5 linked regions of the Kluyveromyces lactis genome follow. The protein of the gene in region 1 purifies or fractionates together with the protein of each later gene. This does not show direct contact. Links are inferred from orthologs where the notes say so. Each region holds a gene or a part of one and is shown in the gene's direction. Other genes may lie near its edges. The genes, in order: FUN12, RPG1, PUF6, TIF35 and NIP1.

The links.
Region 2: the proteins of FUN12 (region 1) and RPG1 purify together in Saccharomyces cerevisiae (affinity purification with mass spectrometry; 3 studies listed by BioGRID, with this or other methods). This does not show direct contact. The link is inferred for Kluyveromyces lactis from reciprocal best matches to the Saccharomyces cerevisiae genes FUN12 and RPG1.
Region 3: the proteins of FUN12 (region 1) and PUF6 purify together in Saccharomyces cerevisiae (affinity purification with mass spectrometry; 3 studies listed by BioGRID, with this or other methods). This does not show direct contact. The link is inferred for Kluyveromyces lactis from reciprocal best matches to the Saccharomyces cerevisiae genes FUN12 and PUF6.
Region 4: the proteins of FUN12 (region 1) and TIF35 purify together in Saccharomyces cerevisiae (affinity purification with mass spectrometry; 3 studies listed by BioGRID). This does not show direct contact. The link is inferred for Kluyveromyces lactis from reciprocal best matches to the Saccharomyces cerevisiae genes FUN12 and TIF35.
Region 5: the proteins of FUN12 (region 1) and NIP1 purify together in Saccharomyces cerevisiae (affinity purification with mass spectrometry; 4 studies listed by BioGRID). This does not show direct contact. The link is inferred for Kluyveromyces lactis from reciprocal best matches to the Saccharomyces cerevisiae genes FUN12 and NIP1.

The regions. Positions count from the first base shown.
Region 1 is NC_006042.1:2,170,625-2,174,617, reverse strand, and holds the start of FUN12 (translation initiation factor eIF5B), read left to right. Parts: upstream 1-1,189; coding exon 1,190-3,993. Other genes in the region: GTP-binding protein RBG1, read right to left, coding at 1-528. UniProt on the Saccharomyces cerevisiae protein: Plays a role in translation initiation. Translational GTPase that catalyzes the joining of the 40S and 60S subunits to form the 80S initiation complex with the initiator methionine-tRNA in the P-site base paired to the start codon.
Region 2 is NC_006039.1:1,266,388-1,270,516, reverse strand, and holds RPG1 (translation initiation factor eIF3 core subunit a), read left to right. Parts: upstream 1-1,329; coding exon 1,330-4,107; downstream 4,108-4,129. Other genes in the region: AAA family ATPase SEC18, read left to right, coding at 1-1,012.
Region 3 is NC_006039.1:1,047,750-1,051,604, forward strand, and holds PUF6 (pumilio-family RNA binding domain-containing protein), read left to right. Parts: upstream 1-1,363; coding exon 1,364-3,352; downstream 3,353-3,855. Other genes in the region: myo-inositol transporter ITR1, read left to right, coding at 1-808; CORVET complex subunit VPS3, read left to right, coding at 3,563-3,855. UniProt on the Saccharomyces cerevisiae protein: RNA-binding protein involved in post-transcriptional regulation. Component of the ASH1 mRNP which transports the ASH1 mRNA to the distal tip of the bud, where the ASH1 protein is translated and targeted to the daughter cell nucleus.
Region 4 is NC_006038.1:65,483-68,048, reverse strand, and holds TIF35 (translation initiation factor eIF3 core subunit g), read left to right. Parts: upstream 1-1,256; coding exon 1,257-2,066; downstream 2,067-2,566. Other genes in the region: MRPL39 (mitochondrial 54S ribosomal protein bL33m), read right to left, coding at 111-326. UniProt on the Saccharomyces cerevisiae protein: RNA-binding component of the eukaryotic translation initiation factor 3 (eIF-3) complex, which is involved in protein synthesis of a specialized repertoire of mRNAs and, together with other initiation factors, stimulates binding of mRNA and methionyl-tRNAi to the 40S ribosome.
Region 5 is NC_006042.1:279,806-283,994, reverse strand, and holds NIP1 (translation initiation factor eIF3 core subunit c), read left to right. Parts: upstream 1-1,380; coding exon 1,381-3,840; downstream 3,841-4,189. Other genes in the region: BGL2 (glucan 1,3-beta-glucosidase), read left to right, coding at 1-491. UniProt on the Saccharomyces cerevisiae protein: Component of the eukaryotic translation initiation factor 3 (eIF-3) complex, which is involved in protein synthesis of a specialized repertoire of mRNAs and, together with other initiation factors, stimulates binding of mRNA and methionyl-tRNAi to the 40S ribosome.

The DNA.
Region 1 (3,993 bases):
TTGCTTGTTCAAACGGATACCAACACCTTCCAATTCCTTTTCAATGATTTGTTTATGATGCAATGGTTTATTAACGTCCAAAACAATAAATAGTAGATTACAAGTTCTGGCCACAGCGATAACTTGTTTACCACGACCACGGCCATCTTTAGCACCGTCAATGATACCCGGCAAATCCAACATTTGAATCTTAGCACCCTTATATTTGATGACACCTGGAACCGTAACTAAAGTGGTAAACTCGTACTCAGCAGCCTCAGATTCTGTACCAGTCAGCTTAGAAAGTAAAGTACTCTTACCCACTGAGGGGAACCCAACAAATCCGACTGAAGCAACACCGGTCCTGGCCACATCGAAACCAACACCGGCACCACCACCACTACCGCTTGAAGCAGCCTGCAATAACTCTCTTCTAAGTTTCGCTAGCTTAGCTTTCAACTGACCCAAATGAAAAGAAGTGGCCTTATTCTTTTGGGTACGGGCCATCTCATCTTCGATGGCCTTAATCTTCTCTACTGTCGTAGACATCTTTTATTTCAATTCAGATATTGATCAGGAAATTCTTCAAAATAAATCCTTTTTTTATAATTTGATGCCAACCTCAGTGGAATACTGACTGATACCTATCGATTCCAACCGTTTAACTGATTTTGGCCTCTGTAACCAAACTATAATGAAACTCTAATATCATTAATCCTAAGCGATGAGATTGTGAATATCTGTAGAACTTCCTACTGTTGACAAAGATGAAGCTGTCAATTTTTTTCAAGCCGTCCAAGGTGATATTTTATACATCTTCAACGCCGATCGTAAATAGCGATGCTGAATGGCATCGACCGGTCTTCACCCCGAAAATAAGGCTAATGGGACCTTTCTGGCCCCTGAAAGATGAATTTTGGGCGCACCTCACCAAAGACAGGGTAATCTAGTATGTTATTTTTTTCTTTCCATCGAGGTACGTATAATCATGAACTTGAAGTTTTTCATCAGTTTTTTATTTTTTAGTACAGGTTTTTCTCACAACTTAAAACTATTTGAAAGATTGTTTTGCGTAAGATCAATTAAAAGGATTTTACATTATCTCTTTACTTGTTATAACCCTCTTTTACACTTTGTTTGCTGTCTATCATAATAAGATTTCGGAAGAACTGTAAAAGTAGAACCTTTGTATCCGAAAGAGTAGTTCAAGATGGCGAAAAAATCAAAGAAGAATCAACAGAATTACTGGGACGAAGAGTATGAGGAAGATGTTCCTCAAGAATCTTCAGTAGAACCCTCGATAGATGGTTCTGTTGAGCCAAGTGGTGAAACCGAAGTTGCCGATGCATCTGCCATTGAGGAAGATTTTATGTCCACTTTGAAGAAATCTAAGAAGAAGCTGGACAAGAAGGAAGACGAGGATACTAAGAAGCCAGTCTTGAAGTCCAAGAAGGAAAAGGAAAAGGAAAAGAAGGAGAAGGAGAAGGAGAAGAAGAGGGAACAAGCCGCAAAGAAGAAGGCTCAGCAACAAGCGCAGAAGGAAAACAACAAGAAACTTCATGCTGAACAAACTTCTAAACTGAAGGCTGAAAAGGAGGCTGGCAAGTCCACTGAAGGTGCGGCACCAAAGGCTGCACCAAAGAAGAAGGTCCCAGCCGGTCTTGCTGCTTTGAAACGTCAATTGGAGTTACAAAAGCAGCTAGAAGAAGAAGAAAGGTTGGCCAGGGAAGAAGAAGAGAGATTGGAGAAGGAAGAAGAAGAAAAGTTGGCCAAGGCTGAACAAGAAAAGGAAGAAGCTAGAAAGGCTAAGCGTGAGAGAGAACAAGCTAAGCGTGAAAAGTTAAAGGCAGAGGGTAAACTTCTAACTAAGAAACAAAAGGAGGAAAAGAAACTGCTTGAAAACAGACGTGCTGCTCTATTGGCTGCCGGTAACATCAAGGTTGCTGGTCTAGAAAAATCCGGCGATGAGCATCCAAAACCAAAGAAGGTTGTTTACGGTAAAAGAGTCAGAAAGACCAAGGAACAAATCGAGTCCGAAAAGGCAATCGAAGAAGAGAAGAAGAAAGCTACTGAAACTCAAGAAGTCGAAGAAGAAGAGGAAGCGTTGATTGATGACTGGGAGAATTTGGCTCTTGACGATGAACCTGAAGAACAAGAAGGAAAAGAAGAAACAAGTGAAAAAGAGCAATATTCTGGTTCTGAAACTTCTAATGCTACTACTCCAGCTCCGGAATTATCCACTGAAGTTACCAAAAACTATGCTTCTCAACCAATCCCTTCCAAGAGATCTGCAGCAGCAGCAAAGAAAGATCTTCGTTCTCCAATCTGCTGTATCTTGGGTCATGTCGATACTGGTAAAACCAAGTTGTTAGATAAGATTAGACAAACCAACGTTCAAGGCGGTGAAGCTGGTGGTATTACCCAACAAATCGGTGCCACTTATTTCCCAATTGACGCTATTGAACAAAAAACCGCAGTTATGGCTAAGTATGAAGAACAAACCTTCGATGTCCCAGGTTTGTTAGTCATTGATACACCAGGTCACGAATCTTTTACCAACTTGCGTTCCAGAGGTTCCTCTTTGTGTAACATCGCCATCTTAGTTATTGATATCATGCATGGTTTAGAACAACAAACCATTGAATCCATCAGATTATTGAGAGACAGAAAGGCTCCTTTCATCGTTGCCTTGAATAAGATCGATAGATTGTACGACTGGGTAATTACACCAAACAACTCTTTCAGAGACTCCTTTGACAAACAAGAACGAGCAGTTAAGCAAGAGTTCCAAACTAGACTTGACAACATCAAAGTCGCTCTTGCTGAACAAGGTTTGAACTCAGAATTGTATTTCCAAAACAACAACCTAGCCAAATACGTCTCTATTGTTCCAACATCTGCCGTTACAGGTGAAGGTGTTCCTGATTTGTTGTGGTTGCTATTAGAATTGACTCAAAAGAGAATGTCTAAGCAATTGAAATATTTGTCTCACGTTGAAGCTACAATTCTTGAAGTGAAGGTTGTTGAAGGTTTCGGTACCACTATCGATGTTATTCTATCTAATGGTTACTTAAGAGAGGGTGACAGAATCGTTTTATGTGGTATGAACGGTCCGATTGTGACGAATATCAGAGCCTTGTTGACACCTCAACCCTTACGTGAGTTACGTTTGAAGTCTGAATATCAACATCACAAAGAAGTCAAGGCTGCTCTAGGTGTAAAAATTGCTGCAAATGATTTGGAAAAGGCTGTTTCTGGTTCCCGATTATTAGTTGTAGGTCCAGACGATGATGAAGAAGAAATGATGGATGACGTCATGGAAGATTTGACTGGTCTTTTAGACTCTGTGGATACTTCTGGTAGAGGTGTTGTTGTTCAAGCTTCTACATTGGGTTCATTAGAAGCTTTATTAGACTTCTTAAAAGACATGAAAATTCCTGTTATGTCTGTCGGATTAGGTCCTGTTTACAAGCGTGATATAATGAAGGCTTGTACTATGTTAGAAAAAGCTCCTGAATTAGCGGTTATGCTATGCTTTGATGTCAAGGTTGATAAGGAAGCAGAACAATATGCTGCAGAACAACATATCAAAATTTTCAATGCTGATATTATTTACCATTTATTCGATGCCTTCACAGCCTACCAGAAGGAACTACTTGAAAAGCGTCGTGCTGAGTTTATCGGTGACGCTACCTTCCCATGCGTCCTGAACACTCTACAAATCATTAACAAGCGTGGCCCTATGATCATTGGTGTGGATGTCATTGAAGGTTCATTGAAGATCGGTACTCCTATCTGTGCAGTGAAATATGACCCAGCAACAAAGGAGAGAATAACATTGTTGCTTGGTAGAGTCACTTCCTTGGAAATCAATCACCAATCTGTGACTGAAGTCAAGAAGGGTCAAACCAATGCAGGTGTTGCAATGCGTTTAGAAGATCCTTCCGGTCAGCAACCAATCTGGGGTCGTCATGTTGATGAAAAAGATACATTGTATTCTCACATCACTAGAAG
Region 2 (4,129 bases), on another chromosome or scaffold:
AGGTAGAGAACAAATCTTCGAAATCCAAACCAAGAAAATGAGAGAAAACAACATGCTCGCACATGATGTTAGCTTGAAAGAACTTGCATCACTCACGAAGAATTTCTCCGGTGCTGAAATTGAGGGTTTGGTGAAGAGTGCTAGTTCTTTTGCAATCAACAAGACTGTAAATATCGGAAAAGGGGCAACCAAACTAAAAACCAAAGACATTGCAAACATGAAGGTGACTAGACAAGATTTCTTGAATGCGTTAGATGAAGTGACTCCTGCGTTTGGTGTTAGTGAAGAAGATTTGAAGACTTGCGTAGAAGGTGGAGTCTTTAGGTTCTCCAACTCCGTAGACGACATTTTGAAAAACGGTGCTAGATACGTCCGTCAAGTGAGAGAGTCAGACAAATCAAGACTAGTATCCTTACTAGTGCATGGTCCTCCAGGTTCAGGAAAAACTGCCTTAGCTGCCGCCATTGCATTGAAGTCTGAGTTCCCATTTGTTAGATTAATTTCCCCTGAAGAAATAGCAGGTATGTCGGAAACGGCCAAGATCGCATACATCGACAATACCTTCAGAGATGCTTACAAATCGCCACTTAACATTCTAGTTATCGATTCGATAGAGACTCTAGTTGACTGGGTTCCAATTGGTCCAAGGTTCTCTAATAATATCCTACAAGTACTCAAGGTCTATTTGAAAAGAAAACCTCCAAATAATCGTCGTTTGCTTATCATCTCTACTACGTCCGCTTACACGGTGCTTAAGCAAATGGATATACTAAGTTGTTTCGACAACGAAATTGCTGTCCCAAACGTATCAAACCTAGATGAACTGAATAACATTATGACAGATTCCGGATTTCTTGACGATGCTGGTAGAGTCGAAGTTATCCGCAAATTATCCCAAGTTACATCTACTCTCAACGTCGGCGTGAAAAAAGTACTCACAAACATTGAAACAGCAAGACACGATGAGGATCCCGTCAATGAACTTGTTGATCTAATGGTGCAATCATCTTGAATTATACTATTCATTTCTAATATGATACATTTATATATATATATATATTATACATATGTGATATGTACTCGCGACATAGCACATAAACTTCAACTTCGTTCTCAATGATATCAACTTTTGATGAAGGTTGAAATTTTTCAGCATGCTTCCGTTGAAGATCAAAGAGAATAAGTGAAAAAAAACTTTTCAGTCTATTTATGTGAAACTTCTTCCTATTGCACCTTGCAAAATAAAGATATATACTTGGATCTAGTCTCTGATTTAGAAAGGGTAGATAACAACCGTTCTCGACCCATCGATTATACTAGCATTTCATCATGGCTCCACCGGCTTTACGTCCTGAGAATGCCATTAGAAGAGCTGACGAATTAGTCTCTGTTGGCGAGCCAATGGCTGCGTTGCAATCTCTATTTGATTTATTATCTTCAAGAAGGTCTCGTTTTGCTGATGCTGCCACTTTGGAACCTATAATCTTCAAGTTCTTGGAACTTGGTGTTGAATTGAGGAAGGGTAAAATGATCAAGGAAGGTTTATACCAATACAAGAAGCATATGCAACACACTCCCGAAGGTTTGATTTCTGTAGGTGCTGTTGCTCGTAAATTCATCGATTTGATCGAAACTAAGATGACCAACATCCAAGCGCAAACTGATGCCAAAGAAGAATCCAACAAGGACCAAGCCGAAGAGGATCTAGAGGGTGGTGTCACCCCAGAAAATTTGTTGGTTTCTGTTTACGAACAAGAACAAACTGTTGGTGGATTCAACAATGATGATGTTTCAGCTTGGTTGAGATTTACCTGGGAATCTTACCGTACCACTCTAGATTTCTTGAGAAATAATTCTCAATTGGAAATCACGTATGCGGGTGTTGTTAACAGAACCATGCAATTCTGTTACAAATATAACCGTAAGAATGAATTCAAGCGTTTAGCTGAAATGTTACGTCAACATTTGGATGCCGCAAACTACCAACAACAGAGATATGGTCACCACACTGTCGATTTATCAGATCCTGACACTTTGCAACGTTATTCTGACCAACGTTTCCAACAAGTTAACGTTTCTGTTAAATTGGAATTATGGCATGAAGCTTTCAGATCCATTGAAGATGTTCATCATTTGATGCGTCTCTCGAAGCGTGCTCCAAAGCCCTCTGTGTTGGCCAACTACTACGAAAATTTGGCCAAGATCTTCTTTGTCTCTGGTAACTATTTATTGCACGCTGCTGCATGGGAAAAATTCTACAATTTGTACTTGAAGAATCCAAATGCTTCCGAAGAAGACTTTAAGTTCTATTCATCTCAATTTGTCTTGTCCGCTTTGGCAATTCAATTGGATGACTTACCAATTGCTGGTTTCGATCCTCAAATTCGTCTATGTGACTTACTAGACCTTGAAAGTAAACCAAAGAGAAAGGATTTGATTACTGCTGCTGGTGAACAACAAGTCGTAGAGAAAGCTGACGCTGATATTTTGAAATTCTTCAATATATTGGAAACTAATTTCGATGTGAAGTCTGCTAAGTCTCAATTGTCTGCACTTTTGCCAAACTTGGTTGAAAAGCCATATTTCGCCCAATACGTGGCTCCATTGAGAAACCTATTCATCAGAAGATCCATCATTGAAGTCTCAAAGGCTCAAACATCTATTCACTTAGTTGAATTGCATGAAATGTTGTCACTGCCAGCTCCTTTCGAATTATCTGTTTTTGAACTAGAAAAATACTTAATCCAAGCTGCTATGGATGATTATGTTAGTATTTCCATTGACCATGAAACTGATACCGTTTCATTTGCCCAAGATCCATTTGACGCTTGGCAAGCATCTCTTGTTGAAGTTCCCGAATCTAGCACTTCTGATGAAGCAAAGAACTCTGAATCCGAAGAGGAAACCTCCCAAGAAACGCATGCTGATGAGGAACAGAATGAACAAGTCTTCACTCGTAACTCAGAAGTCCGTTCTAAGTTGACTGATCTATCCAAGATCTTAAAGGCCAACGAAGAATACGAAAATGGTTCTTACTATTACAGAGTCAAACTTGTGCGTGAAGAATTGATCAGAAGAAAGGAAGAAGTTATCAAGTTAGAAAAGGAAGCTGCTGAAATTAGAGCTAAGAGTAACGCTGAACGCAAGAAGAGAAGCGAAGAAGAAAACAAGATTCTTGCCAAGAAGGCTCTAGAAGAAAGGCAAAGACGTATGGCTGAGGAAAAGGCTGCTGTTGAATCTTCTATGGAGAAAGAAGCGGAACGTCGTGCTGAAGAAATGATGGAACGTGAGAGAGAAGCGATCCATGAACAAGAAATGAAGAAGTTGATTGCTGAAACTAATGCCAATGGTGTCATTCATATTGATCCAAAGGAAGCCAAGAACCTAACAAGTGATAAGATCAACCAAATGGTCATTGAACAAGTAGCCAAGAACAAGAAGGATTTGACTGAACGTATGACCTATGCCTTCAAGAAGTTAGATCACCTGGAAAGAGCCTATAGACAAATGGAATTGCCATTGTTAGAAAAGGACGCTGAAGAGCAAAAAAAGAGGGATAGAGAGAATTACGACAATTTCAAGAAGAAGTTAATTGAGACTTCCAAGGCCGACTATGAAAAGAAATTGGCTCTACATCAACGTTTGAACAAAATCTACAGTACTTTCAACCAATACAAGTCATCTGTTATCGCTGAAAAGAAGGAAGAGTTAGAAAAACAACGCGCCTTGAAGGAAGCTCAATTAGAAGAAGCTAAGAAGCAAAGAATTGAACAAGTCCGTAAGGAACGTTATGAAGCTAAAGTTGCTGAAATACAAGCTGCAATTGAAGCTGAAGCTGCTGAAAAGGAGGCTTTGGCTAAGGAGGAAGAACTTGCCAAGAGACGTGCCGAACGTGAAAGAATCAACAAGGAAAGAGACGAAATTGCTAGAAAGCAAAGAGAAATCGAAGAACTTCTTGAAAAGAAGAACGGTAGCTCTAGATCTAGCCCTGTTCCTTCTACTCCAACCCCAGCACCAGCACCAGCACAAACTGCTCCGGTATCCAATAAACCAATGTCTATGGCTGAAAAGTTGAGACTGAAGAGAATGAATGCTGGAAGAGGTTAATATCTTGCATATCTCATTCAGA
Region 3 (3,855 bases), on another chromosome or scaffold:
AGAATTACATACTGTCCCATGCAATTTCAGGGCATTGGTGATCGGTTGTGCTTTACAAGGTATTCAACAATTCTGTGGTTGGAATTCTTTAATGTATTTCTCTGGTACTATTTTTCAAACTGTTGGTTTCGAAAATTCTACTGCAGTGTCTATCATCGTTGCCGGTACTAACTTCGTATTCACTTTAGTCGCTTTCTTTGCGATTGATAAGGTCGGTCGTAGAGCAATCCTTTTGATTGGCTTGCCTGGTATGATGGTTTCCTTGGTTATGTGTGCTATCGCCTTCCATTTCCTAGATATAAAATTCACTGGCGCTGGTGAATCGGAAGTTTCCAATGGTGGATTCAGTTCTTGGGGTATAGTCGTTATCGTATTCATCATGGTATATGCAGCATTCTATGCTCTAGGTATCGGTACTGTACCATGGCAGCAATCTGAATTATTTGCAACATCCGTTAGAGGTGTAGGTACTTCTTATTGTACAGCTACTAACTGGGCTGGTTCCCTAATTATTGCATCTACCTTCCTAACAATGTTACAAAACATAACACCGACTGGTACATTTTCATTATTTGCTGCACTAGCTGCAGTATCTACCGTCTTCTGTTATCTCTGTTATCCAGAACTATCTGGTCTAGAATTGGAGGAAGTACAAACTATTTTAAGTGATGGATTCAACATCAAAGCTTCCAAACAACTAGCCAAGAAGAGAAAGCAACAAAATAGCGAAATGCAAAGGAGATTTAGAGAAAAGGACATGGAAGCTTATCAAAAGGATAAACCCTCCGATGAACTACTTGAAAGTTAATGTAAATGCAGTCATTCCCTCTTATTCTCATACCCGAAGCTACTGTCTTGGTTTTTCAATGAACTTCATATGAAGTTGAGTATATAGATAACCATAAAATCTTTTAGAATTAACAACTATAGCTGCTAAAGTTGTCCACAATTACTACTGTAATATTATCATTGTCATGTGTAAAACTCAACTTGTTTGTGATTTACAATAAAAATCTCGTTAGTTTGAAAGGGTGACATTTACTCATTTCATAATTAACTAACTCGGAAGAGAGAGCTTTCGAGAAATAGAGCTAAATCTTTGAAGCATGTAATAAACTGCCATATTCGGTTTAATCAGCCAAATCCTGTACCAACTGTATATTCCCCCCATCAAAAAAAGAGAGATTCTGGCGAATGTTTATTTGAGTTCTTTCTTTTTAGCATATTATGAAAATTTTCTGAACTTGAAAAAGAAGCGATGAGATGAGATGAGCTTATACAGTAGTAACTGCACTATGGGTAGCATTAAATAACAACATATACATTCTTATTCTCTCTCGTAGGACAATACAGCACTACAGATATGGCAGCCACGTCGAAAAAGTTGAACAAGCGTCAATTGGAATCTAAGGAGTCGAAGGATTCTGGTAAAATTGTAAAAAGAGCTAAAAACATTAGTGTTGATTCTGGCGATGAAGATTCTGATGATGTCCTCCACGGTTTATCTTCAGAAGATGAGCTAGATGATGAATTAGATGATGCTAGCTCAAATTCAGATTCAGACGAGCTAGACAACGAATCTGATCAACTGGATGAATCTGATGAGGATCAAGAAGATGCTGAAGATGAAGAAGATGCTGGAACCGGAAATGATGCAGACAAAAAAGAAAGTAATGGTGTCAGCCAGCATGCCGAACAAAGAAAAACATTAAAGGAGAGAAAACTTCAGCGTAAATCTGGTGAAACAGTCCAGCAGATCAAGTCTTTATGGGAAAGATTACGTGTCAAGAACCCTCCAATTCCAAAGCCTGTCCGTGAAAAGCTATGTAATGAGATCTGGGAACTCTCGAATGATTGTATTGAAGATTTAGTATTGAAGCATGATGCATCCAGAATTGTCCAGACATTAGTCAAATATTCTTCCAAAGAGCGCAGAGAACAGATCACGTTGGCATTGAAAGATAAAATTTATGTTTTGGCCACATCATCATATGGTAAATATTTGTTGGTTAAATTGTTACATTATGGTTCCCGAAAATCTAGACAAATCATAATCGATCAACTACATGGTAATTTGAGAAAACTAATGAGACACCGTGAAGGTGCCTATGTGGTCGAAGATTTGTTTGTTCTTTATGCCTCTCAAGAACAAAGAAATCAAATGATCAGAGAATTTTGGGGTTCAGAATACGCCGTATTCAGAGAATCTCATAAGGAACTTACGCTCGAAGAAGTTTGTGCTTCCAGCGTAGAAAAGAGAAATATTATCGCTAGAAACTTGATTGGTACCATCACTGCTTCTGTTGAAAAAGGTTCGGCAGGTTTCCAGATTTTACACGCAGCAATGAGGGAATACGTCAAAATCGCCAACGATAAAGAAACATCTGAGTTCATCGAACTTTTAGAAGAGAACTTTGCGGAATTAGTGCATACCCCAGAAGGTGCAGAAGTTGCATCTACTTTAATCGCTAAAGCAAATGCCAAAGAAAGAAAGGGGTTGATAAAGACCTTGAAAGAACATGCAATCAAGTTAATTCAAAATGAACACGGTGCCGTTGTTTTCATAACTTTATTAATGACAGTCGATGATACTGTTCTCGTCTCCAAGGCATTTTCCCCACCAATTAAGGAACATCTTCCAGAATTGATTGTTGATAAATTTGGTAGGAGGCCGCTCTTATTCCTACTTTTAGGATTAGATGGTAAATACTTCGGTCCAAATATGAAGAATGAACTACAAAGATACATTAAGATGTCGGAAACTACTTCCAAGAAGCCATTTGACCAAAGAAGACTTGAATTATTAAAAAGGTTCGCACCAATGATTTTATCTGGCGTAAACGAACACTACAAAACCATTCTAGATGAAAACATCGGTTCTCAATTTGTCGCAGATTTACTCGTTAACGATGATGTCTATGAACAACTTTCAGAGTCTGATCAAAAGTTGTTTGCCGAGCTTGTGGACACCGTCGCCATTTATTTCAAAGGTGACATTTCAGAAGAAGACCACCCTATTAACAAACCATTTTCGGCAAGGTTGCTAAAGTCTCTCATTCAAAATGGTAGATACAACGTGAAAGCAAGAAAACTAGAACCTCTAGAAAAAGTTCAGGGACTTGGTATTCCATTTGCTGAAAAATTTTATGAAGACATCATTGATTCCAGCAACCTACTCGATTGGATCAACAAACCCAACAGTTCTTTTACCATTGTGGCATTGTATGAAGCCTTACATGGGACTGAAGAAGGGGAACAATTCGATCATGATTTGAAAAAAGTGATCAAGAAAATAGAGACGAACGATTCAAACAAGGGTGCTCAACTACTTCTAAAGCTAATGAAGCATTGAGTATGTATAGTCAAGTCGTTATATAGTTTGGCTCTAAAATATGTATATTAAAGATGATATAGCTTCTCATCATTGTGGACGAAGGACGTTCTAGTCTACTATTAAGATTCACACTTCCTTAAATGAGACTATCATCTGCGAACCAGAGATAATACAGCTAAGAACATTTATTCCTCAATTCACTAATTACAGCAGTGGCATTGATGGCTTATGAATGACGATACTAAAGAGAAACCCATTTCAACTGCCTTTGAAGTAACCGATGGATTATATGCTGTTTCACCATTAATCGAGAATGTGCCTCATGAATATGAGTACTCATGTATCGAATATTATGGTCAGCACATCTACCTGGGCTCGACTTCAGGAGCGTTACTACACTATTATGAATTAGATGTTGGAAATTTCACACTGATCTCGGAAGTCAACTTCAATGAAGACAGACCAACAGGAATTGATGGCATAACGCTACTGCCGAAAATTGATAGAGCCTTAGTGTTGTC
Region 4 (2,566 bases), on another chromosome or scaffold:
GATACTACTATAGAACTCTTAAATCACGTCTATTTCAACGGTAGTTATTGCAGTGTGAGTGTTTTCTATATACATGCAAATGGTGTGGTTAAATTGTTAAATACAATTCATTAACGTCTTGCGGTACGTAAGAAGTCCAATGGTTTCCTCTCTGCAACCTTTCTTTTCTTGGCCTCTTTGAACAAAACATGACGTTTAGCTACAGGGTCGTACCTCACCTGCGTCACTAATGGTGCAGCTCTATTTATCGTGACATGACGGCTCACACCTGTCATAGCAGTTGATATCAGTTTGATAACTGTAGTCTTTGTCTTAGCCTTGGCCATCGTTTTCCTGTTCGTTTGCAGTTTATATATGATATCCTTAGCTCTGTGAAATTCCTTGAATTTGAATTTGAGACAGAGAAGTACGCAGGATAATATTACTTTCTGCCCTTAATACTTTCCGATGATACACCGTCCTATGCAGAAATTGATGAACTCCCACTACTTTCAGTATTGATTGGGTCGGATACATTGCTAAAGAAGAAGTAATGGATAATCAAAATTTTGTCAAATCACTACATACGTTTTGATGAATATGCAATATACATAAAAATGATCCGTACTTCATATCACGTGAAACAGATACATATTCACAAGTCAAGTTAAGTATTCGCATATAGTTACTCTACGCTTTTATCAACAAGAAGGTATTAACTGAATTGATTGGTGTACACAGTACGGTATAATTAAGGTAACTAATTAGTGCTGGAGCTTACGGATCTCTGTTACACCCGTGCAACACGATATACATTACTGATGAAAATTTTGAAAATTTTCCAAAGCTCATCGCATAGAGACAGAGGCAAAATCAGCGAAAGAGAAGAGAAAAAAATGGAAATTCAAATGAGTTCTAAGTTACCTGCTAAAATAAACGTAATGGTAAGGTGACCCTAGAAGGTGCATAGGGTTTCATCCAGCTGTTTGATAGAAGAAAGGAGTATACTGCGCCAAGTGTATCCGATTTACGTGTTTCAATAAAGAACTGAAACAAAAATTTGAGACTATCATCTGTGCGAAGTTTTTTTCTTCAAAGAGAATTAATTGATATCGATCAGATTATCTACAGACCCATAACTTGAAAGGAGGATATTTGACATACCTCAAATCAGAATTGGGCTTCTTAATTGTTGATAGTATAACACGCGTCTAGAAATTAAAGGAATTTTTTCTACAATCCTATTTTTTTAAGGAGATAATACAAAGATTCACAACATGTCAGCTATTCCTGAACCAAGAATCATCGAGAATGACGATGGTTCCAAAACCGTCATCAGTTTCAAAATCCAAGATGGTAAGAAGTACAAGGTTACGCAGAAGGTTAAGGAAATTACTGTCACCGAGAAAGTTAACAAGAACATCGCCTTGAGAAGAAATTGGAAGAAATATGGTGCTGATAAGGGAGCTGCCCCAGGACCAGATATTTCAACCACTCAATTAGGTGAAGAATTAGAGTTAGACTTGTCTCCTAACTGGAAGGAAATGGAAGAAGAAAAGGCAAAGGAGAAGGCTGCTAACTCGACTCAAAAGGTAATTACTTGTAGAATTTGTGGTGGTGCGCATTTCACCATGCATTGTCCGTACAAAGACACTTTGGGAAAGAAACCTACTACATCTGCTGGTTTAGACCCGGCTATCGGTGGTGGAGATATGAGCGCTCAAGGAGGCTCTGGCTCTGGCAGATACGTGCCACCATCCCTACGTGCTGGTGCTCGTGATCCATCTTCTAATGCTTACCAAGACCAAAGAGAACGTGATGATGCAAAGACTATTAGATTGACCCAGGTTAACGAACTTGCAGATGAAGAAGTGCTTAAAAGAGAATTACTCTTCCCATTCGGTGAGATTCCTAGAGTATTCGTCGTCAAGAACCCAGAAACTGGTAGATCCCGTGGTGTTGCTTACGTTACTTTCCAAACTGAAGAAATTGCTGCTCAAGCTTTGAAATTATTGGAAGGCAGAGGTTTCATGAATTTCATGTTACACGCAGAATGGTCTAAGCCAAAACCAAAGAAAGAAGAATGATAAACTGTAAGAACTCGCTGATCAAACTGATATAGTATTTTTTGAAGAGAAAAACTACTTCAAAACTAAGTTCTAAACCCATTATTTCAATACCAAGGTCTCTTTACTTCTACCTTCAAAGTTGTTGCATCTTATCTTACAGCTTATTTGTTCCCTACAATTTATCCCATTCCTTTCATAACATGGGATATCTCTGCGTAGCGTGACGTATGTGTATCCTAATAATCTTACTTCCTGGTTGAACAAATGAGCATATCACTCAGCATCATACGGTTATATTATATGACATTCTTTGACCCATTTTGCTCTCGAACGATACAATAGCATATGTGTATAATTACTACATTCGAGTACTATGTGTGTTACGTATCTACCTGTATATTACAAACTCCAAGATATATCGTCTAACTCTTTCAGAAATTCAAACCGATCAATGAAACATGTTGGTGGATTTCGTTTTTCATAGATATTAAGCGGATGTACGTAGTATATAATATGTG
Region 5 (4,189 bases), about 1.9 Mb from region 1:
ATTCCGATGGTAACTCTTACAGTGGCAAGCAAGTCGGTACTGTTGACTCATGGAACGTTTTGGTCGATGGTGGATCTGCTACCGCCATTCAAGCTGCTGACTTTGTCATGGCGAACGCCTTCTCTTACTGGCAAGGTCAAACTATGGATAATGCTTCTTACTCGTTCTTCGACGATATCATGCAAGCTCTACAAACTATCCAAACTACCAAGGGTTCTACTGACATTCAATTCTGGGTTGGTGAAACTGGCTGGCCAACCGATGGTACCAACTTTGAAAGTGCTTACCCAGGTCTAGATAACGCTAAGCAATTTTGGGCTGATGGTATTTGTGCTATGAGAGGCTGGGGTGTCAACGTTATCGTTTTCGAAGCTTTCGATGAGGACTGGAAACCAGATACTTCTGGTATTTCCGATGTTGAAAAGTACTGGGGTGTTTGGGATGCCAACAGAAACTTGAAGTTCAAGTTGGATTGTGATTTCAGCTCTTAATTTTTGAGTTGAGCTTCTCTTCTCTTTAACATACAATACAGATTGTGTGTATTTTTTTTACCCTTCCACTTTCTCATTTGATACCGGTTATAATTGTTGACTTGTTGTTTCCTTTCGTCTCCTATTAACAACTCAAAATTATACAAATGAAGCTTTCATGTCACATTTAGGTCACACATTCCTTCAGCAAATTGATCCATTCATACTTGTTACTACGGCTGTTATCTAAAGGTGATATTAACTTATTACCTACTTGAATTCTTCAAATTGCGATACTATCCATTTTAATTCCTGGACTAAAAAAAAAAAAGAACATTAAAAGAGTACTTTATATATCACAACAGCAGAACATTTTCATGAACCATAAATGTATCTATCCCGTTGTCGAAGTATGCCCACAAAACATCGATCAAGAAGGCATCGTATATGGTATGAAAGCTTCAAAATTATTTTATTTCTTAGCAACATCTATATTTCACTTTTCATATAACTAAATTAAATCGATATTATTTTATACCCTATTTATCATCGATGATTATACGCAATCACACAAAGTTAGACGTCCATTTTGGCCTAACATCAACCGGCGACAGACTCCCACTTCACTTTGTTCTTTGCAATGGTACATTCATTTATCATTACCCGGCTACCAATCGTGTTCCATGATTATTTGAAAATTTTCACAAATTTTCACTCAGTGAAAGCTCATCTCAAAAGAAAATCTGAAAGGTTTGAAATCGAATTAATAGATGAAATTCAGTTGAGACGTGTAATAAGCAATACTTTTCAATTGTAGGTTGGAATCACCAGGTCGTAACAGGGAGACTAGGTTGAGATTAGTACGTGGTATTAAGGAAATAGAACAACGTTAAGCGATAGTCCATTCATCATGTCCCGTTTTTTTTTGAAGACATATGAGTACGATTCAACGTCTTCTGGTGAAGAAGAAGACTTGTTATCTCAAAGTGAAGAGGATTTAGTTTCATCCTCCAGTGAGGAAGAATTATCTGATGACTCTTTCTTCAACGACTCTGATGAGAGTTCCGATAATGATGAAGACAATGATTCTGATAGCAAACCCTACGGCCCTGACTGGTTCAAGAAGCCAGAATTCAGAAAAGGTGGTGGTTCAGGTGCTAACAAGTTCTTGAAATCTACCAACTATTCATCTGATGAAGACTCATCCGACGAAGAAGATGGTAAGAAGGTTGTGAAGTCAGCAAAAGAGAAGTTGTTGGATGAAATGAAATCTATTTACCAAAAAATTGATTCCGCAGAAGCCCAACAAGATTGGGAATCATTATTAAACCATTTGGAAACCATTTTGAAATTATACACAAAAGCCCAACAACAAAACTACGGTACACCTAATATCTTTGTGAAGTCATTGGCTAGATTTGAAGATGCGGTATCTGCTACTTCTCAGGATGAAATTAAGAATAAGGCAGTTGCAAGAGCTTATAACACCACCAAGCAAAGAGTTAAGAAGTTAATCAGAGAAAACGAAACCTCCGTTAAGGCTTACAGAGAAAACCCAGAGGACTTTGACAAGGAACCTGTCTTAGATGCTGATATAGACTCAAGAGATGTCTCTGCTACTCCATTCTCCTTGAGTGGTAAGAAGAATTTAGACTTGGCATCCGTGGCAAATAACATTTCTGAGCTAGACTTTTTCAAGACGTTGAATATTATCATCGATTCTAGAGGTAAGAAAAACACTGACCACACAGAACAAATTAAAACCACCGAAGAACTATTGAAGATTGCCAAGACTCCATATGAAAAGATCTGTACATACTTGAACTTGATTCCAATCAGATTCGATGCATCTGTATCCTTATCATACCAACCACTAGAACAATGGAAAGCATCAAAGGATAACTTGGATGGTTTATTGGAAGTGCTGGAACAAGAGATCGACCACTATCAAGTTACTGAATTTGCCCCAAGAAATGATTTCATTGAAGATGAACCAGAAGCTAATGAGCATGGTGTCAAGGAAATTTTGGGTTCTATCTTCTCTATGGTTGAAAGATTGGACGATGAATTTAGCAAATCCCTTTTGAACATTGACACTCGTTCCAGTGAATACATGGAACGTTTGAGAGATGAACAATCTATTTACAATTTGATTATCAGATCCCAATTGTACTTTGAACGTGTAACTGCAGAAGAACACCGCGATAGACTTTTGGCCCGTGTCTTCAACAGAAGACTTGAACATATCTACTACAAGTCCGACAAGCTCATCTCTATTATGGAAACCGTTGCATGGAAACAAATTCGTGAAGGAACTGCGTCCCTTGAATCCTCTTTCGTTCGTTTGAATGAATCAGATTCCGCAGATGCCGATTACAACTTCAAGGTCATCTCTGAATTGTCCGATTTCTTAATTAAACAAAAGAGTAACAACGTGTTCAACTACAGAAAAGGTACCTTGTACAAAACATATTATATTGCATTGAACCAAGAATACGCTCCAGCAAAGAAAATAATGCTTTCTTCCGATATTGCTAAATTCATTTCAGGCTCTGATGCAGCATTACAAATTTTGTACAATAGATGTGTTATTCAACTTGGTTTGGCTGCATTTAAGGCTGGTTTAATAAATGAATGTCACCAAGTTTTGAACGGTCTTTGTATTAATCCACATCTAAGAGAAATTTTGGGTCAACAAAGTTTACAAAGAGCTAATGCGAACAGCAATGTCGTGCAGGGTGCCCCTGTTGAACAATTATGTCTTCCTTTCCATCAACACATCAACTTGGATCTAATTGACACCGTCTACATGACATGTTCTTTATTACTTGATGTGCCTCACATGGCAGCTTATTACAGCGGTATTAAGGTCAAGAGAATCCCAGTTTTCCAAAAATCTATCCGCCGTATTCTAGAGAGTTCAGAGAAAGCTATTTTCCATGGTCCTCCAGAAACTCTAAGAGATCACATTCTTTATGCTGCAAAGTCAATGCAAAAGGGTGATTACTTACAATCGATCGAATATTTGAGGAAAATTTCTGTGTGGTCTTTGTTGAGTAAATCTGATGATATCATCAACCAACTAAGTGAAAAGGTTCAAATTGAAACTTTGAAAACTTACATTTTCACTTACAAGAGATTCTACTCTAAAATATCCATTTCTAAATTATCGAAATTGTTTGATCTTGATATCGAAAAGGTTTTGGCTGTAGCACAAAACATCATCAATGATTACGAAGTTAAAGCCAAATTGGATGAAAATAACGAATACATTATCTTCGAAAGAGGCGAAGAAATCACAAAGTTAGAAGAAGTTGCCATCAAGTTAGTTAAAGAAACCAAGTACCACTCTGAACGTTTACGCCAGTAAACATTTTCATTCTTCGTTCAGCAGATAAGGTCAGTTTCTAATTGTAGCACTCACCTTCCATACACATAACAAAATTTGCTCTTCCTTCTTTTGTTCACTTACCGTGCGCATATTAATAGACAGAGTCGTTGGCAAAGAACCTTTGTTTTAGCATTTGCAATAAATACTAGTATTTGTACATTATCGATAATATATAACATAGTTCTCACTGTAGGCAATTACGTAGTTTTTGAAATCAATTAATTGAATTTTGGAGACATATAACATCTCGAACATTGACTCGTAACAATACAGTTTATGCGCTGGTTCATTCTATATATATATGTATATGATACACATTTATGGACAA